Rattus norvegicus: one gene and its partners. The protein of the gene in region 4 interacts with the protein of the main gene of each other region in a pairwise test. Links are inferred from orthologs where the notes say so. Each region holds a gene or a part of one and is shown on either strand. Other genes may lie near its edges.

The links.
Region 1: the proteins of Traf3ip1 (region 4) and Frmd4a interact in a two-hybrid assay, tested with the Homo sapiens proteins (2 studies listed by BioGRID and IntAct). The link is inferred for Rattus norvegicus from reciprocal best matches to the Homo sapiens genes TRAF3IP1 and FRMD4A.
Region 2: the proteins of Traf3ip1 (region 4) and Fgfr1op2 interact in a two-hybrid assay, tested with the Homo sapiens proteins (2 studies listed by IntAct). The link is inferred for Rattus norvegicus from reciprocal best matches to the Homo sapiens genes TRAF3IP1 and FGFR1OP2.
Region 3: the proteins of Traf3ip1 (region 4) and Sfr1 interact in a two-hybrid assay, tested with the Homo sapiens proteins (2 studies listed by BioGRID and IntAct). The link is inferred for Rattus norvegicus from reciprocal best matches to the Homo sapiens genes TRAF3IP1 and SFR1.
Region 5: the proteins of Traf3ip1 (region 4) and Snap91 interact in a two-hybrid assay, tested with the Homo sapiens proteins (2 studies listed by BioGRID and IntAct). The link is inferred for Rattus norvegicus from reciprocal best matches to the Homo sapiens genes TRAF3IP1 and SNAP91.
Region 6: the proteins of Traf3ip1 (region 4) and Pcnt interact in a two-hybrid assay, tested with the Homo sapiens proteins (2 studies listed by BioGRID and IntAct). The link is inferred for Rattus norvegicus from reciprocal best matches to the Homo sapiens genes TRAF3IP1 and PCNT.
Region 7: the proteins of Traf3ip1 (region 4) and Kansl1 interact in a two-hybrid assay, tested with the Homo sapiens proteins (2 studies listed by IntAct). The link is inferred for Rattus norvegicus from reciprocal best matches to the Homo sapiens genes TRAF3IP1 and KANSL1.

What each region holds. Positions count from the first base shown.
Region 1 is NC_086035.1:78,853,077-78,857,376, forward strand, and holds the start of Frmd4a (FERM domain-containing protein 4A), read right to left. Parts: upstream 2,801-4,300; 5' UTR 2,503-2,800; coding exon 2,359-2,502; intron 1-2,358. UniProt on the Homo sapiens protein: Scaffolding protein that regulates epithelial cell polarity by connecting ARF6 activation with the PAR3 complex. Plays a redundant role with FRMD4B in epithelial polarization. May regulate MAPT secretion by activating ARF6-signaling.
Region 2 is NC_086022.1:181,228,798-181,232,297, reverse strand, and holds part of Fgfr1op2 (FGFR1 oncogene partner 2 homolog), read right to left. Parts: intron 2,235-3,500; 5' UTR 2,233-2,234; coding exon 2,098-2,232; intron 1-2,097. UniProt on the Homo sapiens protein: May be involved in wound healing pathway.
Region 3 is NC_086019.1:256,559,137-256,563,332, reverse strand, and holds the start of Sfr1 (swi5-dependent recombination DNA repair protein 1 homolog), read right to left. Parts: upstream 2,801-4,196; 5' UTR 2,737-2,800; coding exon 2,724-2,736; intron 1,835-2,723; coding exon 1,665-1,834; intron 1,037-1,664; coding exon 644-1,036; intron 1-643. UniProt on the Homo sapiens protein: Component of the SWI5-SFR1 complex, a complex required for double-strand break repair via homologous recombination. Acts as a transcriptional modulator for ESR1.
Region 4 is NC_086027.1:99,545,176-99,548,675, reverse strand, and holds part of Traf3ip1 (TRAF3-interacting protein 1), read right to left. Parts: coding exon 3,491-3,500; intron 3,090-3,490; coding exon 3,006-3,089; intron 2,279-3,005; coding exon 2,155-2,278; intron 1,952-2,154; coding exon 1,915-1,951; intron 1-1,914.
Region 5 is NC_086026.1:96,694,508-96,698,007, forward strand, and holds part of Snap91 (clathrin coat assembly protein AP180), read right to left. Parts: intron 3,059-3,500; coding exon 2,983-3,058; intron 1,922-2,982; coding exon 1,819-1,921; intron 790-1,818; coding exon 696-789; intron 1-695. UniProt on the Homo sapiens protein: Adaptins are components of the adapter complexes which link clathrin to receptors in coated vesicles. Clathrin-associated protein complexes are believed to interact with the cytoplasmic tails of membrane proteins, leading to their selection and concentration.
Region 6 is NC_086038.1:12,237,353-12,240,852, reverse strand, and holds part of Pcnt (pericentrin), read right to left. Parts: intron 3,344-3,500; coding exon 3,227-3,343; intron 3,121-3,226; coding exon 3,100-3,120; intron 1,817-3,099; coding exon 1,613-1,816; intron 1-1,612. UniProt on the Homo sapiens protein: Integral component of the filamentous matrix of the centrosome involved in the initial establishment of organized microtubule arrays in both mitosis and meiosis. Plays a role, together with DISC1, in the microtubule network formation.
Region 7 is NC_086028.1:89,746,621-89,750,120, reverse strand, and holds part of Kansl1 (KAT8 regulatory NSL complex subunit 1), read left to right. Parts: intron 1-2,603; coding exon 2,604-2,786; intron 2,787-3,228; coding exon 3,229-3,417; intron 3,418-3,500. UniProt on the Homo sapiens protein: Non-catalytic component of the NSL histone acetyltransferase complex, a multiprotein complex that mediates histone H4 acetylation at 'Lys-5'- and 'Lys-8' (H4K5ac and H4K8ac) at transcription start sites and promotes transcription initiation.

The DNA of each region.
Region 1 (4,300 bases), on a different chromosome or scaffold from region 4:
CATACATACACATGTGGAGGGCAGAGGTCATGTTAGATTGTTCCTCAGGAGCCCCCCACCTTAGGTTTTGAGACAGAGACTCTTACTAGGATCTGTAATTCCCAGAGTAGATTAGATCTGCTGGCCTGTGAGACCCAGCGCTCTGTCTCTCTCTGCTTCACCATTGCAGAGATTCAAAACCTGTGCTATCCCTCTAGGCTTTTTATGCGGGTCCTTAGTGTTGAACCCAGGTCTTCATGGTCATGTGACAAACACTTTGCCCAATGAGTTATCTCCCCAGCCATGTATATATCAGGTGATAATCTGGTAGAAGGAAAGTGAAGGCAAGAGGGTGATTGAAGGTGGGGTAAAGGCCAGAAGCCAGGTCCCCAAACTCATTTGCGACCACGGCAATGTCTGCAGAGACAGAATTATCTACACCAAGTAAGTTGTTCCGAATGCCAGGATGGGGGAGGGGAGACATGGACCAGAAAGGGACATTTCAGGAAAGCTTCAAATGGACAAACCCGCAGACTCCTTCTTCCTCTTGACTCTCCCAGCGAGGTTTGGTTATTGTGGTCCCCGAAACCCCAGAGCTCTTTTAAATTCATAACTTGTCATTGAAAAGATTAAGTATGTTTTTTTGATGGTTGTTCATTTTGGGGGATATCCTCATTTATTTTACTTGTGATTTATTTGTGACACAGCTGCTGTTTCTAGGAACACTTGTAGGTATTATGCCTCCTTCGAGGACAAGAATTCCAGAAAAAGTTTACCTCCAGAAACGGTGTCTGTATGTCTATAGTCAGAGAAGGGACCAGGACGGGGATGGAGTATACACATGAAAGCCACCCAACACTTGGGGCCTGGCTTCCAAGGAACTGTCCTTGATGCAACCTCCCCAGGACACTGCGTATGGGGAGAGGAGCATGAAGCCTGGGGCTATTTAAACATGGTGGTTCTTTAGGGGATTACACACCGCCAAATCACACCTAGAAAATACAAATCCAGCTGTAGCTATCTGCCTCATGCCAAACAGCTTGGTGAGCCAGCGAACAAGGAAAGAGGCCAAACCCGCTCAAGTTTAATGAAATAAACTGGGTTACACAGAGCTGTCAGCCAAAGAGAAGCCTGTGACTGCCCTTTGAAGAGGCAGCCAGAAGAATTTGGTTTCCCTCCCCCAGCTCCGGGTGGCTGGTCCCTCTCAGGGTGGGCTGGAGATCTCAGGACTGACACCTCCCGGGCAAGTGGGAATGCTACCAGTCTGCCCTGTTGGTGGTTGCAGGAAACAGATACTCCTGTCTCCCTCTTGGAAGTGATCTACATTTCCAGACAACTGACCATGAGTTATCAGGCTCTTGTGCAAAGTGTCATCTTTGGGCTAAGGTTGATACTCAGGGATAGAGTGCTTGCTCAGTCCGTGTGAAATCCTGGGTTCCATTCCTACCATTGCAAAAAAGGAAACTGAAGGGCTGAAGAGGTAGCCCACTGAGTAAGGCTTGCTGAGGCTTGAGTGTGATCCTCAGAACACAGGAAAAAAGCCAAATGTGATACCATGCTTGTAACTCCCATACTGGGGTCCCGAGGCTCCCAGGCTACATGGTCCACTTGGAATCTTCGAGCCTCGGGCCAGAAGAGGATCTCTTTCAAACAGCAGGTAGGTAAACTCCTGAGGAAGGTCATCCAAGGTCACCACACTTACATGTTTCCACACACACAGGGGCACCCTCATGAACATGTGTCCCGCCCATGAGATGAAAATACTGCGGACCAAAACCCAATAGCAAGGTGTTTTCTTTCTCATAGGCGTGAGTGAGAGACCTGGCTCCACTCGTCTGATTCCAGAGACTCCTGTGCGAGCCAACAAAAGGAGAAGGGACTGAGGAGAAGACCTGGGGTTCCTGCTTAATGCCCTTGCCTCCATGATGCTCTACTGCTTATAGCCACATCTGTCCCTTACCTAAGATTGTTGTCACACCTAACTGGTGTGCACATCGCTCACAAAACATCAGACCTTGCTTGGGGATCTGGAACCCATAAAAAGCATTTTCTTAGTCTCAACAGCCAGAAATATGGTGCTTTAAATCACTGGTTTCTACCATTTGCTCGTAGATAAATTTAAAGCAATGTGCATGCAATCTTTAGTAACCCCATCCTTCAGCTGGTGACCCTTCTTTATAGGGGTCACCTTGCACACTGAGCTTAAAGCACCTCACATGGGCCCAGGTATCTAAGAAGGCATATCCCATGAAGGTTACCCAGATCCTAATTGATTGCAAGGTGTTCCCCAGTTTCAGAGAAAGATCCTCCTTCATCACTCCTCCCCACCCCCACAAACCCCCACACAGCAAAGCAAACCAAAACAAGCATTGGTCCTACCTGGTAGACAGCCCTGGGAATGCACCATGGCTTTAACATCAGCTGCAGAAGATGCAGGTTTCCTTCTCTGCAAGTCCTTAGGACCCGGCAAGCAAGGTCCCAGCTACAGGGTACGTCCTCAGAGCCCAAGAGCCCAGCAGCCATGCCAGTTCCAGGTCCCAGCCTGGTCCCTCTGTCCCCAGGCCTACATACAGGGCTCTTTTCGTGATGCAAAGTCCTAACACCACTGAGATCTAATCAGACAAGGCAAAAATGCAGTCAAAATAATTCTGCTTTCCTTGACATCCTCTCCCCCTACCTACCCTGGCTAATCTTGAGGGACTGTTTTCCCTCAAGGATTAACACAAGGCTCCAGGTCTCTGGGGACCCTGCAGGCACCAGGGAAGAATAAACCCTGTCCTGCAGATAACCACACATCCTCGTCTCTCCTTTACCGTCCTGCACACTGCTGCTGGCTCTTCTGGCAGGTCTAGACACAACTGAGTAGAGTGTGAGGCAGAAACATTCCAGGGCGAGAAAGTGGAGGGGAGAGAGCTCCAGAGTCCCCTGCCAGCATCCCCACGACATTCCAACTATTTTCCCTAACTCTCAGAAACTTGGAGAACCCAGGAGTTTCTGTAGGGTGAAGCCAAAAGTTTAATTTTACACCCACACTGGAGCACTGGCTGTTTTTCTGTGTTACTTGTAAGGCACAGGCCATTTTCTGTGGAATCATACTAAATTTAGGCTGGGATGGAAAGTCAGGAAGCTTATAGCATGTGTTTAATAGCCATATCCACAGTTATGGGGGCGAATGGAGAAAGGAGGTCACGGCAACCTAAATCTCTCTTCTTTTTCTCCTTTAAGATCTGTGAATGTGTGTGGGACCGTGAAAGGCAGCCTGGTTCCTGGTTGAGCTAAGGCTTAAAGCCCCAGTGACCCTGAAGGAATGAATAGTAGGCATTTCACCTGACTCCCAGAAAACCAGGCCCCTGTCGCTAGCCACAGCCCTCCATAGATTTGTGGCCATCAGTCACGTAAAGGCAAAGTCCCAAGCCCCTCCATAGGTAGAGGATGTGACCTGTGGCCAAGACAGATCTCCATTATAATGAGGTACCTAAAGGCCTGGAGGCTTAGCCAATAGCATTTCTCCCCAGAGACTCCTCCCTGCAAAGGGTATTTAATCTCAGGCCCACCCTGAGAAGTGGGGTGTGGTTTTACTCATCCACTTTCCGCCATGACAATAAATGTCTTAAAACCACGGACTGCCATTTTTCATCAGGATCCCCTGTGGTGGGGAGCCATGGAGAAGGCCTTCCCCAACAGAGCTGCTCTCTCATCTCCCATAGAAGGCTTCTCTGCAGCGGAGGCCACCACCAAACCAAACCAAGCCAAGCCTGCGGCCCACCACCACCAAGCCAAAGGCTCTCCATGCAGGACTCGCCAGAGCCCCCCCTTTTTCCTCTCGGCCCTGGGCTAGATCCAGCCCAGCAGGGCCTGCATGCCCAAGAGCTGGAGAACCCAATGGCCAAGACTTCTTGAAGGTCCAGGGACCCCCAAGTCAGCTCCAACTGTGTCCTGAGCCTCAGACTGCACTCCCTCACCCCTGGAGTGGTGTCCCATGGCTTCCCTACAGCCTGACACCCGCCCACTGTGGGGGCAAGTGCGGTCAACTCCCGCATCCCACCTGCAGCCACAGTGCTCTGAGGTTGAGCTGACACGGGGACCTCCCAACCTTACACATGTGCAGGCTGTTTGACGAATAAATGGTACATAGAACTTAACCTAAGGGAAAGACAGTTGAATGGGTTGCAACTGTTTGTGAGCTCAGTTTCCCCTTAATTGGGTTTTTTGGTTTTTTTTTTTTTTGTTTTGTTTTGTTTTTTCGATAGGTGTCTTGCCCTTAGATCAGGCTGGTCTAAAACTTGCTGTATGTCCCAAGCTAGCCTTGATTTTTGTATCC
Region 2 (3,500 bases), on a different chromosome or scaffold from region 4:
ATGTGCCACCACTACACCTGATTGGATTTTGAAATTTTTCTTTTAAAGTGGGAATCCAACTTTAGAATTACATTCATTTTTCTTGAGGCATTCTTACTGAACAGCTATCAATATTCATCTTGAGGCATTCTTACTGAATAGCTATCAATAAATTCATCACAACTGGTGGTTTGAAAGAAAATGGATCCCATAGGCTCATAGGGAGTGGCACTATTAGGAGGTGTGGCCCTGGAGTAGGTGCATGACTAGGTGGGCCTTAAGGCCTCAGAAGGTCAAGCCTGATCTTTTCCTGTTGCATCAAGATGTAGAATTCTCAGCTCCTTTAGCACATCTGCCTGCATGCCGACATGACAATAATGGACTAAACCTCCCACTGTAAGCCAGCCCCAATTAAATGTTTCCCTTTAAAAGGATTGCAGTGGTCATGGTGTCTCTTCACAACACTAAAACCCTAACTAACACAGTAACACTTCTGGTTCCTAACTTAAGGAGTCGAACTTCTTTTTAAAAACACATCACCACCTGGTCTATGCTTACTGGAGTGCAAGAGTCAGGCTGGATGGTCAGGGAGCAGATGGCTTTAGGGAGACACAGATGCAAAGTAGAGTAAGTGAACTTGCTATGCTATTTCTGGTGACTTTTAAAGAGCTTTAGTTCAGGACTGCTTTCTTTCTTTTTCTTTCTTTCTTTCTTTCTTTCTTTCTTTCTTTCTTTCTTTCTTTCTTTCTTTCAAGAGATAGAGAAAAACACAGTTTTCCTCTTTATACCCCTGGCTGTCCTGGAACTTGCTCTATAGCCCAAACTGGCTTCGAATTCAGAGAGCTGCCTTCCTCCCAAGTGCTGAGACTAAAGGAATGTGTCACCACTGCCCAACTAGGGCTGCTTTTTATAATGGCAGATTTAAAACATACTAGAAAAAATTAACTTGAAATAACTGCATAGAGTGAAAATTAGATATTTTCTTGCATCATTTCCAAAAACTATATGGGTGCTAAATAATATCCAAGCACTTTTATAAAGAAAAGTATAAACATCTTGACATTATATAACCCAGCAAAATGTCCAATACATGCCAACATTAGTGAGATGTATAATCTGGTCCTTAACAAATGTATTTAGACTCAACAATTCCACTTATTATTTGACTCAAATGTGCATTTTAGTCAGAAGAGGGATAAAATTTATAGGGTTTAAAATAAACCTACCTCTTAGTCAGGTTTCTATTACTGCAGCAAAACATCATGACCAACAAGCAATTGGGGAGGAAAGGGTTTATCTGGCTTACACTTACACATCTCTGTGCATTATCAAAGGAAGTCAGGACAAGAACTCAAACCTGGCAGGAACCTGGAGGCAGGAGCTGATGCAGAGGCCACAGAGGAGTGCTGCTTCCTAACCTGTTTCCTATGGCTTGCTCAGCCTGCTTTCTTATAGAACTCAGGGATGGCACCACACACAATAGGCTGCCTCCCACCTCCATCACTAACTGACAAAATGCCTTACAGCTGGATCTCATGGAGGCATTTTCTCAACTAAGGCTCCTTCCTCTCTGATGACTCTAACTTGTGTTAAGTTGACACACAAAACTAGCCAGCATACCTACCTACATACATGTCACTGAAACATGATAATATACCCTAGTCCAAAGTGAAACAAACATACAAGTGAGGCTACTTGAATTTTAATTAGACATTATTTAAGTAGTAGTTTATTGTGGTGGTTTGAATGAAAATGGCTCTCATTAGCTTATAGAGTTGAACACTAGGTCACTAGGGAGTGGCACTACTTGAAAGGATTAAGAGCTGTGACTTTGCTGGAGGAGGTGGCCTTTGGGGTCCCATTCTAAGCATAGGCTCTCCCTGCTGCCTTGTGGATTCGGATGTAGAACTCTCAGCATCTACTCCAGCATGTCTGCCTGCCACCAAGCTATGGCCATGATAATAATGGACTAAATTCTGAAAACTTTAAGCAAGCCTGGATTAATTGTTTTCCTTTATAAGTGTTAAAAGAACACTGACTGAGAGATTTATAATTTATGTATTACTTAACCAAGTATCAGCAAAACTTTGGTGTAAAGTTAGCAAGAGAAAGTCAGACCTGTTTCATGGCTTCCACTCGCTTGCTGAGGGCAGTGGTCTGTTCGATGAGAGACTCTGCTGCATCATCATGGTCTCTCAACCGTTCAACAAGGGCCTTAGCATCAGCAAGTGCCTTCTCAATGGTGCAGCTCATTTCTAAAGGAGAACCAGTAAGTAAGTTAAAATCAGGACTTAAAGTTAACATATCACCTTCTCTCGGCGGTTTCATATCATAAATTACCTTAAGCTTCACTTTCTGAGACTTCATTATTTAGAGTGGAAAAGCAGTTAGGAATACCATGCACTGCCTGGTAGGATACTATAAGCTTAAATGCAAATCTGACTGTAAGAACTCTCCCTAACCTGCCCCCATCCCCACCCCATCTATGTCAAAGTCTCAACCTCTTCTTGGAGGAGCTTCTGCTTCTTATGTAAAGTGACATTAAAAATCTCAGTTCCCAAATCTTTCCTAGGGGTGGGAAGTTTCCACAGAGAATATCATTAGCCACTTCAGGCAACTTTCACTGTGTTTTAAGAGGCACTTAAGGGATTCTGAGATGGGTGAACCTAACATTCACCTCTTTTCTCAAGCACATGGGCTGGAAACAGCAGATGTTCCGCTGCACTTTGAAGGGGTCACCAAGGGCAACCCTAATAGCAAAGCGAGCAAGGGGCTGCAGGGTGGCAGCAGGGGCACAACAGCAGGATGTCTGCTGAAAAGAAGCCATGGCTCAGGCAGGGCAAGCCTTCTGTCTGCATCCTGGGTGAACAAGAAGTTCCAGCGACCTACTCAGTGTGGATCCAGGCCCCAGTCAGAGCAGCAATGCTGCTGGGAAGCCTGAAGTCCACACGGTGCCCCCATAGGAGGCTGACTGATGGCTGTGCTAGTCTCCAAACCAAAACAGAAATCTAAAAAAACAAGAGATGCCTTCTATAACAGATTCCAAAAAAGACAAATAGGTGAAATGCTGGACAAAGAGTTCAGCAAAACTGGGCAGATCTTTGAGAGTTCAAGGCCAGCCTGGTCTATAGGGTGAGTTACAGGACAGTGTACACAGTGAGACCCCATCTCAAATAAACAAATAAATAAGCAAACAAATAAGGAAACAAACAATTTGAGAATAGTTCATTAAAAGCTCAGTTTGGGGGCTGAAGTAATGGTTCGGGAGTAAAAATGCGTGTTGCTCTTGCAGAGAATTGTAGTTTAAGTCACAGCACCCACATCAGGTGGCTCATAACTGTCTATGACCCCAGGTCAATACTCTACCTGGCCTCAACACACTCCAATGCACATGTGCATACCCACACAGACAGACACACACATATGTAAGCAAAACTTAAGATCAGACAGCTCAATGGATCTAAGAAAATACAATACTGAATGAAATTAGAATTACAGAGCAAAAAACCTCAAAAAGAACT
Region 3 (4,196 bases), on a different chromosome or scaffold from region 4:
AACATATTCAAGCTTAAAGCATTTTCAACATTTAGCATCAGTTACATTTAGAAAAGTCCTAAAAGTTCAAAACCACATATAAGATACGCTATTGTCATTTACTCCACATTTTGGGGATAGAACGAGGTGATCTGTGGGTAAGAGCAGCAGCGATGTCTCCTCCTTCCAAACATCCATGTTCTATTTTACTCAACATGTGTGAGCTGAAACCTAAAATCTGTGTTTTCTCAAATAAAATGCCTGACATTTTATCAGACACATGATCGTTACGGAAAGTGCAGCACCCAGCATTCTGTGGTGTGTTTTTAGTTCTAGCGACATCCCTTTCTGTTCCCACTGCACCTCCATCCAACACCTCACACTTCTAATCTTGCTCCTGGCTAGAAATTAGAGCCCACAAGCTTCATCTGTGCATTAAACAAGAGCTGAAGCTTTGAAGCTTTTAAGTTCTACCTCGTGTTGAAGGGGCTTATCTGCCTCATTCTGAACCAGTTATTTCTAATTCAGTCAAAGCTCTTGGTGTAACTAACTCAGGTTTCTGGGTTTTTCGGCTTCTTGTTTATCAGACTAAAATTTATTTCCAATTTCTGAATTTACAGCAATTTATGTAAAAATGGTTCAATGGTTCTGAAATTCTTCTCACCTTTATTCTGTACATTTTGACTAACTTTAACCTCCGAAGAAGGTCTTCCTTCTCTTGAACCTGCCTAGTCAGTTTTGCTTTTTCTTCCTTCAAAGTTTGCTTTATAGTCTTCTCAGTAGAATCTTTTTGGAGGACACTGGATGACCCAGTATCAAGTGACTTAGATTCACTCGTATTTTTATCCTCTGAGCTCTCTTTTTCAGGTTCATTGTCTTTGTTTTCCAGGCTTTCTTGGGCTTTTGAACAGTTTTCTTCTTTTGAAGATTCTCCTGGTTCTGAAAGGGTCTGATCATTTTCTTCATTCTCTACCTTAATACGCTTCACCACACTACAAAAAGGTTGAGATGAAGCTCTTGCTTTCTTTAATCTTTCTTTAAGTGTCCCACTCATAGGCTGAAAAAGACACAAAACATCAAATGTTAAGAATATATTCTTGGGGCTGGGGATTTAGCTCAGTGGTAGAGCGCTTACCTAGGAAACACAAGGCCCTGGGTTCGGTCCCCAGCTCCGAAAAAAAGAACCAAAAAAAAAAAAAAAAAAAAAAAAAAAAAGAATATATTCTTGAAGTACATCAATGTATTCGAAACAAAGTCTGTACGCTTCTATGGTAGGTACAATGGGTTGCTTTTGGTCTCCAAAAACCTCAAGTGGGCATCACCAATGTATCTAAGTTCCAGAGGCTACCTTTAGTCTTGCTTTAGCAAGGTTACCGTCATTGGCAGCTAGTATTTGCCTGACAATACTAGAAACAGAAATGTCTCAGAACTATAAACTAAGGAGAAGACCTGCTACCAAAGACTTCCCCCTGAAATACGGTACAGATATGTTTCCTTGGTTTGGAGCATCTCAGTAACCTGGTAAGAAATTAAACGAAATGAACTGATTCAAGAAGAAAATCTGGCAGTTAGCAAGGTATGGGCTATATATTAACTCACACTCCAGTATCCTTAGAACTGCCACTATTGGAATACTTTGAAACACAGGACAGATGGGGGTAAAGGACAACACAAAATTTTCATACTTGTTTTCCTGAACTATTCGAATGGAGTGATGGTGGATTTTCACTGGTCTGAGGCTTGTCAGGTGAGGTTGGGGGTGATGGTGGATTCTCACTGGTCTGAGGAATGTCAGGTGAAGTGGATGCTGAATCTGAGGGGTTTTCCATCTTGGAAGTGATCTCCTGATTTCCTTCTAGAAAGGGAAAGACACGAGAATGATAAATTAATTATCTCAAAACAGACCTCAATTTTTTCAACAAAATTTTCTTCAGTGAACTAAACACCAAAAAAGTCAGCAATTTCTTCCAATTATTTGTACCTGTAATTTATTCTAATTCTTTTCATATTCTTTCCATTTACTTCTCCACATGGGGAGTAACCAAATTTTGTTTCTTTCACGACAAATAAACCGGCTAGTATCTTATTGACACTCATTTTTCTCCTTCAAAACATCTCCAAAAATTTGGATTTCGGGGAAGGGAACTAACTCTACGTAGTCAAGAATTTTAATCTTTGTTATAATTTCGTAAATAAAAGCGATACAGTCCGAATCTTGAATCCTAAAAGCTTTGTGCCTAGAAGAATGAGTCCCAAGGAGCCAGAAAGCAGCGTCGGCCCCTTTTGGTTTTCTAGGGTCAGGGCCTCTGCCTTCCTCCCCCGCCCTATCTTTTCCACCAAGCCCCGCCTTCTCCGCCCCGCCCCCTCCGCCCCGCCCCTCACCCCCCACCACAGAAAGCCCTCCCCCCTCATTCTCCCTTCTCTACTCCCTCCCCCGCACCCTCCCCTCACCCTCCCACCACAGAAAGCCATCCCCCCTCATTCTCCCTTCTCTACTCCCTCCCCCGCCCCCTCACCACAGAAAGCGCTCTCCCGCTGCTCCCTCCCGCGCTCTTTTTTCTAAGCCCAGTCCCCCTCCTTCTCCTCTCCCTCCCCCTCTCCTCCACCTCCCTCACCATAGAAAGCCCTCTACCCTACAGAGCAGGAAGTCGAGCCCCCGCGACGCCGGGAAGAGCTTCTCTATCAGATATGCAGACACCCGCAGGCCTGACGCGCAGACCAGCCCCAGGGAGAAAGCTCAATACCTTCCTCAGCCATGCTCACAGCAGACACAGCGTACACAACCAGCGTAGCGCCCGGAGTACACTGACCTCGCCCCGGGGGCGGAGCCCCACCGGAGGAGAGACGTGCGATTGGCTAGCTTGACCGTAGCGGGCGGATGTGCTTTGTCCAATTCCGACTACGCGTGCGCGTAGGCCCACGAGCCTCAGCCACGGGGCGGGGCGGGACCAGGGGGGAGGCGGGCGCGGCTCGTGATTGGCAGGACTGGCCGGCGCGCTCCAGGGCTCGGCCACGCGCGCAAGGCCGCCAGGCTAAGGGTGGCTTCCAAGGCAAAAAATAGTGTCAGGCCTTTGGACGGGCCTGAGGGGGGCGCGCTTCCGCTCGCCACTTCCTACGAGGGTTGCTGTGCCAGCCGCCTTCCCAAGCAGCTTCCCTTGGGGGAAGGGAGAGGGGTGCATCCTCTGGGTAATGGGCCTGAGAGCACCGCCCCCGCGCGCCCGCCCCCTGGCAGTCTCCGCTTTCACAACAGCAGAGGCTTTTCCTCAGACGTGGCAGGACCGGAAGCCGCGGGGCCCGTTTGGCTCCCTGCTGGCGAACGCTTCCTTAGCCTTTTGTGGTCTGTTTGGAAGCCAGCTTGATAGGAATCTATCCCGGCGTCTCTGCACGTGCAGTAGAGAGCATCTCCAGCTTGCTTTGCAGTCTCGCCCCTTTATTTTGGTCTATGCCCACTGGCTTCACTTGTTTTGGTCCAATCTGAGAAAATGTAACCTAAGGAAGTGTATTATGGCGCAGGACAGGAAGCGGGACTGTCGATCCGATCGGGTCGGTCTAGCATCCAGAAGTTTGAGAACTAGATCCCGGGGTGCCCCTAGGAGGCCCCTTGCTAGACGCTGGGGAGCCCCTGGGAGGCCCCTTGCTAGACCCTGGCTCGACTCCTGGGAGGCCCCTAAGAGGCCCCTTGCTAGACCCTGGCTCGACTCCTGGGAGGCCCCTAGGAGGCCCCTTGCTAGACGCTGGGGAGCCCCTGGGAGGCCTCTGGCTAGACCCTGAGAGGCTGCAACGCCTTCTGGTGTTAGGGATGTTCTGTTGCTATGCAACAGCAAAGTGAACTAGCTTGGGTGGAGCACTGGGTGTAGAGAAGTCAGCTGAGTAACCTGTGAGTCACTGGGAAGTTTGTGAGAGAGGACAAATCTCTTTCCGAATATCTGCTAATGGTGGCTTTAAAGTAATCCGAAAGAAGTGGTCGGAATCCTACGCAGTCAGTTATAAATACAGAACCTAACGAAACTTTTGGAGGTGATTAGATCTGCAAATGTTGCAGTTGCCTAGATTCCAGTGCTGGCATTGTGGTTTTTTATTTGCTTTGTTTTTGCTATAGCGTGTACGTAATGTGGACGTGTACCTCATTTTGATGGTTTGATAAATGAGAATAATATCTACCTCCTAGAGACAGAGAAATTAAATGATAATTTATGAGAGGTAGCTAGGTACCAAAA
Region 4 (3,500 bases):
TTAGATTGGGCAAGAATACTAAATTTTGTTTAGAATTCTCCACGGTATGAAGAGCTCATGAACAATCTTCTCCTTAAAAAGACTGTCTTACAATGCTGTGTAGGCTGCTGGGGGGAGGGGGTGTGTGCTACCATCAGTGTAACCAAGCTTCGAACTACACTGCTGACTACAGCAATGGCCAGTGTGCCACCCATAGGTGCTACAGTGGCATCAATGTTATGCAGGCAACCGGCCATTTTCTGATTGAACTTGAGACCCATTCTACAAAAGGAAAGTCAAACACAGTTCTGTACGTCTGGCCCCAAAACTTATGTTTGGGGAGCTCACCAGTCCCAGGAGACAGCGTCTACTCTACTAGATGGGCACACCATCAAACTACCCACTCATTGTACCCCTGTGCTCACAGATCAGTGCTGCCCTCAGACCTCATCAGACAAGTGTCCTCGTTCAGTGGACGGTGGTTAATGTGCAACTCACAACCAATCAAAGAACAGGCAATACATGGCAACAGCAAGCTCAGCCACAGATGGGACAGCTCCACTGCACCCTAACCTGCCCTCCAAGGCTCAGGAACGTCATGGAACAGGGGTGAAGACAGCTGTGAGAGCCAGATAATAGGGAAGAACGGAGAGAAACAGTGTCAGAATGTCAGTCAACATTCTAGTGAGCTACCCTCTCGGACAGTCGGTGGCTTTGGGGGAGGGAGAGACTTGGTTTTGAAGGGTGTGGCTCATGCTAGGTCAGTCAGCTCCAGTAGATGGTCCTAGCATATACCCAGGAGCTACAGGCAGCCCAAATGAAGTAGATAGCGGTTTTTTGTTTTGTTTTGTTTTTTTGGTTTTCTTTTCTTATTTTTTCTTTTTCTTTTTTCTTTTTTTTCTCTTTTTACAAAGGACATAAAATTGAGAGGAAGTGGAGAGAAACTGGATGGATCTGGGAGGAGCAAGGACGAGGAATGGGGACACAAATATGATCAAAATATATTTCACGAAATTCTCAAAGAATGAAATTACACTTAAAAGTATCTTCTATACGAAATGCCTCAGGCAGACTGAGTGGATGAGTGATGACATATTATGTACATGGTGTACAACATGCTGCTATGAAGAGAGGCCATGTCTGCCTCTGTGCTGGAGTGCAAGCCAGCAGACTATCAAATTCACACACTCACACACACACACTCACACACACACACACGCACACATACACACACTCACACACACACATACACACACTCACACACACTCACATATTCACATTTTTTAAATGGAATCATTTCTCATATTTCCACCTGAACCTATCGGGGAGAGGAATATAGGGAAGAAGAACAAGAAGTCTTACACCTCAGCGCTGGGTGGGGTGGTGTAGACTTATAATCTCAACATTCACAAGACAGAAGCAAAAGAATAGTCAAAAGTGGGTCTCCACAGTGAACTCTAGGCCAGCCAGAGCCACACAATGGGACCCTGCCTCACACAACAAAACAAAACAAACGTACACCTCTTAATGTAGCTGGCTATGAACATTTAACCTTAAAGCTATAGGAACAGTTACATGAATAAAAACCAGAACTGAGTTGGACATGGAGTATACCAATAATTCAGTATGTAGGAAGCTGAGGCAGGAAGATGGAGAGTTTCGGGCAGCCTGAGCTTTACAACAAATTCTAGTCTCATGTTCATGTGTGTACACAGGCATGTATATACACAATGTCTTGGGCAGACAAGACACACCGCCACTATGACTAGAGCCCATCCTCATCTCAGGTCCTGTGGTCCTCCAGGCCCACATGGCAGCAGCATCGGTGTCCCTCCCTGAACCCAGCTTGTGCTAGGCAGAGGATGGCCACTAGCATCCTCAGAGTACTCACAGAGGGACGTATACACACGCACAAGTGCTGTGGTCTATACTCACCATGCTTCTCCTCATCCTCCAGGTCCCCTGATGGCACCTGGGCAGAAAGGAGAAAGATCAGGGAAGCTGAACTTTCAATGCTTTTGTTACCTCAAAATAAGCAAATAAATAAATAAGCAAATAAACAAGCAAATAAATAAATAAAACAAACATAAACTAGACAACTAACTGGAAAATTAGAAAAATTGTATGTACGTGAACTGGAAAAGCTCAGGTCCTCACTTTAGACGTCTTACTAACCATTTCAATTTCTGCGATTTCCGACAGCTGCGGGGCAGCTTCCACCACAAACTGCTCGTCGTCCTCATTGTCGGAGTTCTGGGAGTCGATGATCACAGTGGAGACCGTCTTACCACTTCCCGACCTAAGCAACAAGAGTCATTCCGTTAGAAGTGACCCATCAGCCACCAGTTATCATCACCCCCTTGCTTCTGGAAACCCCACAGTTCTCAGAAAGGAGCTGAACTGCCATTGCCCAAGACAGGTGAAGGGAAATCTCAGGGAACAGTGGGAACAGAGAGAATATCACCTCCCACACAGCAGCCTCCATGCTGTTCAGAGCTCCAGGCCACCCCAGCCCTCTACCCCAGCCTTACTGGCCCTTCTGCTCCACAAAGGCCCTAGGGACCGCCCTGTTCCCTGGCATTGACTCTAAGATACAGCAAAGGTGGCACATGCAGGCCACGGGACCCAGGACCTCCCCTTTCACAGGTCCAGCTACCGTGCCCAATACCTCTGGGGTGTTTCAGCTTTGGGGTACCCGTGATTTAACTTTTGTACAACTTTTCATGCTTTGAAAGTCTTCTATCTAGAGGTCAGGGAAACACAGCCCAGTAATGGCCCATGCATTCTGAGGCATCCTATACATGAACACATGTATTTTTTCCCTTTTGCTAGTCTGGAATAAATGCTTCTCTGTGGTTTAAGGCAGTGACCTAACCCTATCTTTCTTCAAAGCAACATTTTCCAGCACTGAGTACTACATCCTACGAAGTTTCTCTGCACAGGCCCAAGACCCTGGCATCCCATGGCCCATGCACTAGAGAACGTGGCTCCAGTGTAACTAGAACCTCCTGGCCAGGCAGCCTCACCTGTCCCCTGCCAGTGTTTCTGTGCTCTCTTGTCGTTTGACCCTGGGAGGTGCTGGCCGTGCACTCCCAGGCCGAGGTATTCTTCTAAATAAATTTTGGAAGAAAAAAAATACAATATGAAACACACACAAATCTCAAAGTGGACAGAACGAACAGCCAGGCCAGAACTAGTGTTCGCTCCCACGCCACTGTCGGCATGATAGTCACTTTGCAGAGGAACACCGGCACCATTAACCAAGCACCTCTGCCCTTCATCAGAGCACGACAGACCTTCCCGCTACTAGAAACGTCCCCAATTTGTACAATGCCCCAGCCACAGGCATGTAACTCTGGTACAAGAAAACTAGAGGTAGCTTTTCCTCACTTTGTACAGCTGCTTCCTCAGGACTCAGCACGAGTGCTGACTGGGCAGCAGGTGCGATGGGGGGAAACCCACAGCTTGCCCTAGGCATGACCACACTCCCAAACCCCGGGAGAGGACACACCTGAGGCTGG
Region 5 (3,500 bases), on a different chromosome or scaffold from region 4:
CCACAACCAATTCAGGTTATGTTTCCTTTCATTATTTTTTACTTCATGTGTATGACTATTTTGCCTTCATGCCTGTCTGTCTGTGCACCCCTTGTGGGCCTGGTGCTTATGGAGACCAGGCTAGGGCATCTGACCCCTAGGAACTGGAGCTGGTTGGGAACTGCCATGTGGGTGTGGTGAACTGAACTCCGTTCTCTACGAGAGCAGCTACTTTCTTAAGCACTGAGCTATCTCTCCAGACCCTCAGGTAAGCTTTTAAACAAGCAAATAACACCTACTGAGTGTGACAGAAAACACTTGTTATCTGTGATAATACAAAATCACTCTCTGGTGGCCAGTGTCACTCGGGCAGTCCATGTCAGATGGGCTCTGACCAGAAAGCATGGTTATTTAGCTGCCTGAGGAACATCTTGTGCATACTTCATCTTACAAGTGCACCAAGACATCATTTTACTCAGAATAGAAGGCTCGAGAAAGCTGTGTTCGCCTTCCTCTGACCTTAGGAAACGGTTTGTAGACTTTGGAACATTCTGGAAGCCTCGGAGACTGAGTGAATGTTCCTGTAATCCATCTACACGAAGGCCTTCTAGAGAGGATCCTTAGGGCAACCTCTAACTGACCTGCCGCCCTTTCAAAGGAAAGACAAGGAGCAACTATGGGGGAAACGTTTTCCATGAGGCCCGTGAGGCACGTACATCGAACTCCAGCAGCGCGTCGATCTGCCCCTGCAGGATTGGCATGCTCTTCAGCAACTTTTCAGGAACCATTGTCCTCATTACACCGTCGGCCCTGCAACACCGCAAACAAACAGAAGCACGTATCCTTGTGAGCGCTGGGAATGCAGGGCCGTCTCTTATACCAGTGGTTCTCAACCTGTGGGTCTAAAGGCCCTTTCCTACAGACTGCGTGTCAGACACCCTGTAATCAGACATTTACATGATGATTCTTTTAAATGTATGTCTATTCATTTTTATTTATGGTTTTCTTTTATTCTATATGCACTGGTGCTTTGTTTGCACATCTAACTTTATTAGGGTGTGGTTTCCCCTGGAACTGGAGTTACAGACAGTTGTGCTATGTAAATGCTGGGAATTGAACCTGGGCCTCTGGAAGAGCAGCCAATGGGTGCTCTTAACTGCTGAGCCATCTCTCCAGCCCCTCTGTAGATTCTTAAAATAAAATAATAAACCTTCACCACACTTTACCATTACCTTCAGATATAAACAGACAAAAGATCTGCATGTGTTTCTGGCTGATTAAATTTGGCCCAGATTAAACCATTGATGTAGAGGCAAATAAATGACACCTGTGTATTAAAATTCATTTTTTTTTTTTTTGCTTCACGGAGACTTTCTTAAACAGTAAGTAATGTCGATAATTAAATTATGGTATGCATATTTCCTAGGAAATTATTACCTCTCAAAACTAAATCACCACATATACAGTTTTCACCTCAATTAAGATTCATATAAATAAATAATTTCATTTAACACCACCACACACTGCAATTAATCCTGTCAGTTCTTCCCATATTTAAAGGCATTTCTACTAAGGATGCTGAGTCAGTTTTAACAAATAAAACTTTGCACCACTTCATTTCTGAGCAGCCAATCAGACTGTTCTGCATGGACACACGAAGCACTGTACACTTCAGGGAACCTCCTATCATACTGACTTCCGAAGCCGTTTCTTCAGGTGAATGTGGACTGGGCCTTCCAGGATCAACGCCAGCTGGCATGTAAGCTGAGTTAAATAAACCTTGCATGCCTACAGGACTTACTGTGCTTAAGTAAATAAGAAAAGGAGCGAGAGCCATACCCTTTCTTCACTCTGGCAAAGTCGAATGCCATCTGTCTGTAGGAGAAAGCCTTCTCATTCAAGTATCTACTATAACGTCGTATGAACGTGGACATATCATAACCTGGGGAGAGGGAGAGGAGACGAGTCATGAGCACAGCGCTTTCGACTGGACTTTTCATACGAGTTTCTACGGCTCTTCTTTTTTCTTTTCTCTTATTGGATGTTTTCTTTATTTACATTTCAAATGTAAATGTTATCCCCATTCCCCATTTCCCCTCCACAAACCCTTTATCCTGACTCCCCTCCCCCTGCTTCGATGAGGGTGCTCCCCTACCCACCCACCCACTCCCACCTCACCACCCTGACATTCCGCTACACTGGGGCACTGAGCCTTCCCAAGACCAAGGGTTCCATCCTCTGCACATATGCAGCTGGAGCCATGAGCACCTCCTGTGTACTCTTTGGTGGGTTCAGTCCCTGGGAGCTCTGGTTGGTCGGTACTGTTGTTCTTATGGGGTAGCAACCCCCTTCAGCTCCTCTAACTCCTCCACTGGGGACCCTGTTCTCTTCAAAACAGACAGGGATTGTCACGGTTGCCTCTGAGATGGAGCTCGCCAGGTTGCAGCAAGCCGCGTTTATCAGCTACTCACAAGCCAAGATTCCTCCACATGGGCCGCTCTGGCCATTCAGTGTGGCAAGTAGACCGTCCAGCATGGGATGTCTATTTTGGTTTTTCCCCTTGCATTTGTATTTACTGTTGCACACAGCAGCCTGTTTCATGTGTAACACATGCAGCCATCCGCTACGGGGCTATCTAGCTTTACATGTATGTGACAGTAAGCAAATACAACGAGTGAGCCAGAGGTCATGGCTCAAGCCGCATCAACCTACAAAAACATTCCTTTAAGAGGGGGACTTTCTTTAATTTGGTTGATGACTTCTACTCCCGCATCTCCCGGATCTTTATAAACAAACTGTAAGACAGATTAACCCAAGGTTCACTTTCCAAAGTGAACACTCCGAGTGACAAAATAAAATTGGTATATATTTTATATGATTCACTGTGTACAATTTAATGGCTAATTTAACAGTTACTTTCACATTACTTTCTCAAATAGCCAATGGGACGCACAGTGACAGTGACTCTGGATTAATGTCCCCCCCAGCTTTGCTCGTTCTCACCGTGGGATCCACTCTTATCTAGAAAGTTGCTCAGGTTGAACAGCGTATTTCTAGAGGCCAAATACTGAATAAATCTCTGAAAAATAAAAGTGAGAGTTGAACACCCATATTTGTGCCTCCAAAGAATCTATGATGCTAAAGCGGTATTTCATTCATTTAGTTTTACAATTTCTATTGTGTTCACTCCATTACTTATGCAGCACCCTATGCCGCTGACTTTCTCTAAGGGAGAAATTGTTTTGAAAACGCCAAAGAATCATTCCGTGAGTCACAATTCAATTTTGTGAACTTTTACTTCTGCATGTGCTAGAAACCCTGAAAATTTAATAGGCTTCACTAGGAATTCCGTGTACAAAAGAAATAATTAAATTTTAATCAATATTTTCCAAAAGTAAATATTCCATTAAAGCAATCTTCATTAACAAATAAGTTACTTCCTGTGGAAAAAACAGATCTCCTGATTCTTTCTCTTAACATTTTCATCCACAAATACGTTCACACAGAATATATATGTAAGT
Region 6 (3,500 bases), on a different chromosome or scaffold from region 4:
ATACCAATCTTGGACTATTTCTTCCAAAAGCAGAAAAAGGGGAAAAAAACTGACACAAAGAGCTCAAGAGCTGACTAATGTCCCTGGTGGGGACAGAGAGATAATGTCGCAGAACATCTGCACACGGAAGGAAGCACGATGAGCAGGGGAGCTGTGAGGCTGACTCCACACTTGCAAACGCCACCACGCACACCACTGTATTAACAGGCTAACGGGGAACAAGGGCATGATTATAGAAACTCAAAGAAATACTGAAAGACACCGTTTCCGAAACTCACTTACAAACAGAAACTTTGGGGCCCATCACACTGGAATTGACCTACTGCTACAAGTAATCACTGAACAGCATAGGTAAGTGTCCACTGGGCTAGTAGCAATTACAAAACACAGAACAGACAAGAACAGGACAAGCTGGACGATATGTCCAACTGCCGAACATGAATGTATGAAAAAGTATCCAAGGAATGAAGGGACGGCCTAGCAGTTGAGAGCACTGGTTGCTCTTCCAGAGGACACAGGTTCGATTCCCTCCAGCCCATAGAACAGCTCACAACCATCTATAATTCCCGTTCCACCCAATGCCCTGTTCTGGCCTTCAAGGGCACTGCACACATGTGATGCACAGATATACATGCAGATACAACAGCCACACATATATAATAGAGCAATATTTTTTAAAGAAATGTTTTAGGCTGGAGAGATGGCTCAGCAGTTAAGAGCACTGACTGCTCTTCCAGAGGTCCTGAGTTCAATTCCCAGCAACCACATGGTGGCTCACAACCATCTGTAATGGGATCTGATGCCCTCTTCTGGTGTGTCTGAAGACAGCTACAGTGGACTCATATAAATTAAATCTTAGAAAAAAAAAAAAAAGTAATGTTTCAGAGAACATTTACCATAGTAAGCACGCTCACAAAACACTGGGGAATAAAGAAACTGGCAAACAATGTCAAGTGGTCCAATGGGAGGAGAACAAACAGGCATTTTCTATCTCTTTATATCTAAAGTTCAGTGAGCTCAAGTCAAAGGATAAGGCTGCAACAGCCCTGAGGTGAGCTGTAGGAAGTGACTGGAGCAGGGTAAGAATCCTCAGTGCGCAGGTTAAATAGGAGAATCAAGAGAACAAGGAGAATTCAGGTTCCCGTCAGCACTTTTGAAAAAAGCTCCCCTCGGGAACACTATTGAAAACTGCGCTAACCCCTCAAGGGGGACTCCTGTCTCCCTCGAGCTACTGACTGCTGAACAGCATGTCTCCTTGGCTCTTACTCTGGTAACATCTGATGACAAAAAGCAAACGAAAACTCCCAAGTTCAAGTCCTGAACTAGTCGCTCAAACACAGACACAACTGAGTCTAGGGACTGAGACAGCCCCATCTTGAAAAAGCCAGCCTGCTGCCCCAAGGCCACTAGGGACATCTGTCCAGGCCTACTATGAGGTTCAGGGTACAAGCCCCTTCCTGAGTCTCAAGCCACGTGCCCAAGAGACACTACAGCTCTGTGCATGGCCAGCCCCACGAAGCCCTGTGACCCACCCCACACCCGGCTTAGTACTTGGACCTACGTGACCCATCCCACACCCGGCTTAGTGCTTCGACCTAGCCGGGAGCTTTACCTCTAACTCTTCCGTGCTTCTTCTCTGTTTTTCTAGTTCTTCCTGGAGCTGGGCCATCTGTCTTTGAATGTTCTCATTTGTCTCCTCAAGATGCTTAATCTCTTCCTCTTGGATTAATAACTGTTGATCTGCAAGATCTTTCTTTATAACCAATTCATTAAACCCATCCAATTTTTCTCTCAGTTTCTCTTGTAACAATTCCACCTAAACATGGAAACAAATGTATGAAGAACATTAGAGTTTTAAAACAAAACAAAACAAAAAAAACCTTCCAAATTAAACTGTCAATAATAAAACCAGCCTGAGTCAGGCCACGCCCCCTCCACCTCTCCCAGAAAGTATCAGGAGGCAGGCAGTGACTTGACAGCTCTGTTTATGATGCCTGGTTCTTCTACCCCGTTTTGCCATATGTACCATTGGCTGCTCTTCCAGAGAGCTTGGCTTCAATTCCCAGCACCCGCACCTCACAACTGTCTGTAACTGTAGTTCCAGGGGATCCGACACCCTCACACAGAGACAGATGCAGGCCAAACACCAATGCTCATAAAAATAAAAAGCACTTTTACAAAAGAATTGCGAAACAAAGGAAGGAAAAAGTCTGGGCTATGGTGGCACACTTTGGAGGCAGAGGCAGGTGAATCTCTGAGTTCAAAGCCAGCCTGTTCTACAGATAGAGCTCCAGGATAGCCAGGGCTACACAGAAAGAAAAGCCAGTCATGACGGAGTGTGCCTTTAATACCAGCACTTGGCAGGCCGAGGCAGGCAGGTCCCTGAGTTGAAAGAAAGCCTAGTCTACATAGTGAGTTTCAAGACAGCCAGAGCTATGTATCAAAAAAAAATTTTTTTACATACATGCATGGATGTTTTGTTGAAGGCTGAGCTGTGTCCCAGTCATTCTCAAGCTTACTGAAGGGAAGCCCGTTCTTCCTTCCCTTTGAGGTCCTATCATGCTCAGTCTTTATATACTATCTCCATATATTTCTCCCCAATGTTCTCTCCCTCACTTGGAGATCCAATCATGGCCTTGAAGCCTGCTCATCTATTGACCCTCATCCCTAAAGGGAATTACGTACTGTACGTCAGCCTCCTTCCTGGACCAACTGCCACTGTTCCTGTTTTACATCTAACATGCAATAGTGTGAGAAGAACTAACTCATGGGAAGGCATCGAGAGGCCTGTGGCACTGGAGGGCTGCAGCGGGGCCTCACTGCATCCCTTCAGCCCAAGGCTGGACAGCAGGGCTCTCGCTCAACAAAGAACCAGGTCTATGCCTCACAACTTCCTGGGAACCCATTCTTTCCTGATGTGTCATTTTTAAAAAAAGCATGAGCAAATCAACTACAGCTGCATCTGACAGGGGGTTGCAGACTTCCACAGCCCCAAACAAAAGCAAAGAGCGAGCAGCAGGGCAGCACAAACAGCAGCAAACCACCAGGCAGGGTGTGGGAGAGCTGTGCTAGGAAGCTGGGAGGTGTTGTTCATCCTACCTCCTCATCTAGCTTGGCGCACTGGAGTTTCCATGTCCAGGGAAGGCAAAGGGTAAAGGAAAACAAAGCTTTAAAATGTTGCAGTAACCAGTCACCCACAGACAGGGGACACCACAGGCTGACCTACCTGACTGTCCCGGGGCCCCGGAGGCCGAGGCCGGGTGGCCTGGCGGAGCTGCCCCTCCAGCCATTTGATCTCCTGCTGGAACTCTTCTCGTTCGTGCTCCCGCTCAGCAGCCTGCTCCTAGAACAGGAAGCCACATGTGAGGACAGTACTTTGGGGGGACATGCGACAAAGCCACAGAATAAGGCTGCAGCCACACACCACACATGTCCACTTACCCAACAACAACCCCTTTGCCCTTGCCAAGTTTTCAAAATGGAGCTAAAAGAAATGATAT
Region 7 (3,500 bases), on a different chromosome or scaffold from region 4:
GGATCTCTGTGAGTTCAAGGCCAACCAGATCTACATAGAAAATTACAAGATAGCCAGAGTTCCATAATAGAGAGACTCTTATCTCAAACAAATGAGTAACAACAACAACAAAATAACCCTCCAGAATTGGGAGACCTGGAGAGATGACTCACCTGTTAAGTATACTGTTCTGGGCTGGAGAAATGGCTCAGCGGTTAAGAGTTCCGACTGCTCTTCCAGAGGTCCTGAGTTCAATTCCCAGCAACCACATGGTGGCTCACAACCATCTGTAATGAGGTCTGGTGTGTCTGAAGACAGCTACAGTGTACTCGTATACATTAAATAAATAAATAAATAAATCTTTTTTAAAAAAGTATACTGTTCTTTCAGAGGATGTGAGTTCAGTTCCCAATACTTATTTGATCTAGGGACATGTGAAGCCTCTGGCCTCTGTACATACCTGCACCACATGTACATACCTTACTCATGGACCCACACACAATTTTAGAAAAAAATTTTTCATTTTAAAAAAAAAATCAGGCATGATTGCTTCTATCTTTAATCTTAGGACTTGGGTAACGAGAAAGAAGATCACTTAAAGTTTAAAGCCAGCCTGGACTATAAAGACAAGGCTGTGACTTAAAAGCTGTTTGTTGCTAGGTGGTGATGACACCATCTTTAATCCGAGCACTCAGGCAAAGGCAGGCAGATATCTGAGTTCAAGACTGTAGGAAACTCTTGTCTGCAAAACCAAAAAGAAAGAAGAAAAAAAAAACAAAACTAATCTCAGTCTTGCTGTGACTTAAAGACCAGCCTCTGATCCATGGCAAAATACTGACTGTCTCAATCTTGTTGGTTGTATTGAGGACTAACCTTGACCAGTGACTACTAAACATAGAAAAATTAAATCGGTCTTAGAGGATATATCTTGAGTACATATAGCAAGTACATGGCCTGAGGTCAATCTCTAACACCACCAAATGGAGCAAGTAAGTGGGGAAAGATGCACATGTTCATGGACTGAACGGCTCAGGCCACGGCAGCTCTGTGACCTATATTCAGTGCAGTACCAACAAATGCTGTTACTTTTGTTCTTTTGAACCACATGCCTGGCAACCCTGGTAGCTTGGGTTGGTGTTGTTTTTTTTTGCAGGAATTGAGTTTTGGCCAGCCTGGTGTGCATAGCAAAGTTTAGCAAAGGCTACTTAGACCTTGCCACAAAAAATCAGAAAACTCCATAATATAGACCAGGAATACACTGTAAGTGAACAGTGACCTACCAAAATTGAGAAGGCACTAAAGGGCCTGGCTTGGTTCTTATTAAGACAGTCTCTTAGGCTGTAGCGTTAGATCTCACAGCAAACCTCCTGCCTAAGTTTTTCAGGTGCTGTGTTTGTGTTTTGGAGTGTTTTGTTTTGTTTTGACAAAAGCTTAAAAACAGTTACACTGTCTTTAGTACCTAAGTACTAGCTATAAGAGTAAAATGGAAAATAACTGTAAGCCTACAGGAAAATAATTAAGATCCTAAAAATTATTTTTCGAAGGAATTACTAAAATACTTAATTCTTAGGAAAATACATATTAATTCAGAGCCAGCCATGATGGTCCATGCCTACAGTCACAACTATTCAGAAGGCTAAGACAGGAAGATCACTAGAGCTTAAGGAACATAGTAGGACTTTGTCTTAGATGATAGAGAGGGAACGGTTTTTTTTTTTTTAAGTCAGCTTTAAAAGAAAACATAATCTGGGGTTGGGGATTTAGCTCAGTGGTAGAGCGCTTGCGTGCAAGGCCCTGGGTTCAGTCCCCAGCTCCGAAAAGAAGAAAAGAGAAAAAAAAGAAAGAAAAAAGAAAACATAATCAAAGGCAAGATGGTAGGGCTCTAGAGCAAGAGGGATGACATAGCTTGTACTGGAAGAAGCACTTTAGTACTTCAGAGCAGACATCATAGGATATGCTGTGTCATACACCAACACAAGCCCCCGTGAGCATAAGTAGTGCTCAATGAGTGTATCGTGCTTGTATATATGTAGAGGTAGGTTTAAATATGTGTCTAGAATTGAAATGGTATGCTTACAATATACCACACCAATAAGGCCAACAAACTTAGAGTAATACATGGGAAAGGAAGTCTCCCATCAATTTAAAAAAAAAAAAAAAAAAGGTGTTGTATAAACCTTACTGGAACTTGTAAATAAAAGGCCAAGATGGTGACACTACTGAGTGGCCATCAATAAAGATTACATAAGGGCTGGAGAGATGCCTCAGCCATTAAGAGCACTGACTGCTCTTCCAGAGGTCCTGAGTTCAAATCCCAGCAACCACATGGTGGCTCACAACCACCTGTAATGGGATCCGATGCCCTCTTCTGTGTGTCTGAGGACACCTACAGTGCAATCACTCACATTAAATAAATAAATAAGTTTAAAAAAAAAAAAAGATGACATAAGTGACTCTTCCATAACAGCCCCTGCTTTGGCAAGTGAGACTACGTGTTAAACCAGAGAGGTGTGTGAGATGGGTATGTTGACCTCTGGAGAGTCAGTGACTAAACACCCTTTAAGGACAGGAGTCCAGGCATCAGGTTCTCAAGACTAACCTGCAATGTTGTATGTTTCTTACAGATGTTCCCACAAGCCTGCACTTCCAGAGCATGCTGAAGTCTCAGTGGCAAAACAAGCCTTTTGACAAGATCAAACCTACCAAAAAGTTTTCTCTTAAGCACAGAGCGCCCATGCCATGCAGTCTGTCAGATCCAGTTCGTAAAGACAGGCACAAGTTGGTCAACTCCTTCCTTACAACATCCAGTAAGTTTCTGAGAACTGAGGAGTCCTCTGGAATCACTATTACTACAGTATTTACCTCTTGTATTTTTTGGTTTCCTATGCCAGTATTCTTGAATTGAGGAAAGCATTTAGTTATTTAATACAAATTCAGCTCACAGCTTACTCCGTCTGATGGTTTTGGATGCTTTCTGATAGACTTTGGAAGCTATTTCAAACAGGCGGGACCTTGAATGTTCAGTTGAACAGCCAGCAGCAATATGATCCTGGTCCATCTGTGGGCAGGATGACTTCTGAAGCCTGATGTTAACATTTCTGTGTGTGGCTCCCTGTCCCTTTCCTACCTATTGTACCATTAACTACCCTGCTGCCCTGCGTGTATAGCCTAAGGAGAACTGAAGAGCTCAGAACTCAAATAAGATTTGAGTAAATGTATTTCACAGCTCTTTTTTGTTCCCCTCTTCAGAGCTGTCCCATCACCAAACACGGCCTGACAGGACCCACAGGCAGCACTTAGACGATGTGGGGGCTGTGCCCATGGTGGAGCGAGTGACAGCTCCAAAAGCAGAGCGCTTGCTCCACCTACCGCCACCTGTGCATGACCCAACCCACAGCAAACTGAGATTGCGAGATCATTCATCTGAGAGAAGTGAAGGTACGGCCAGGCCCGGCACCTCTCCCTGCATTGGCACTTGCTCAGAGCTTTCTGGGACAGCCCAAGCTTCTCTTAAACCCTAA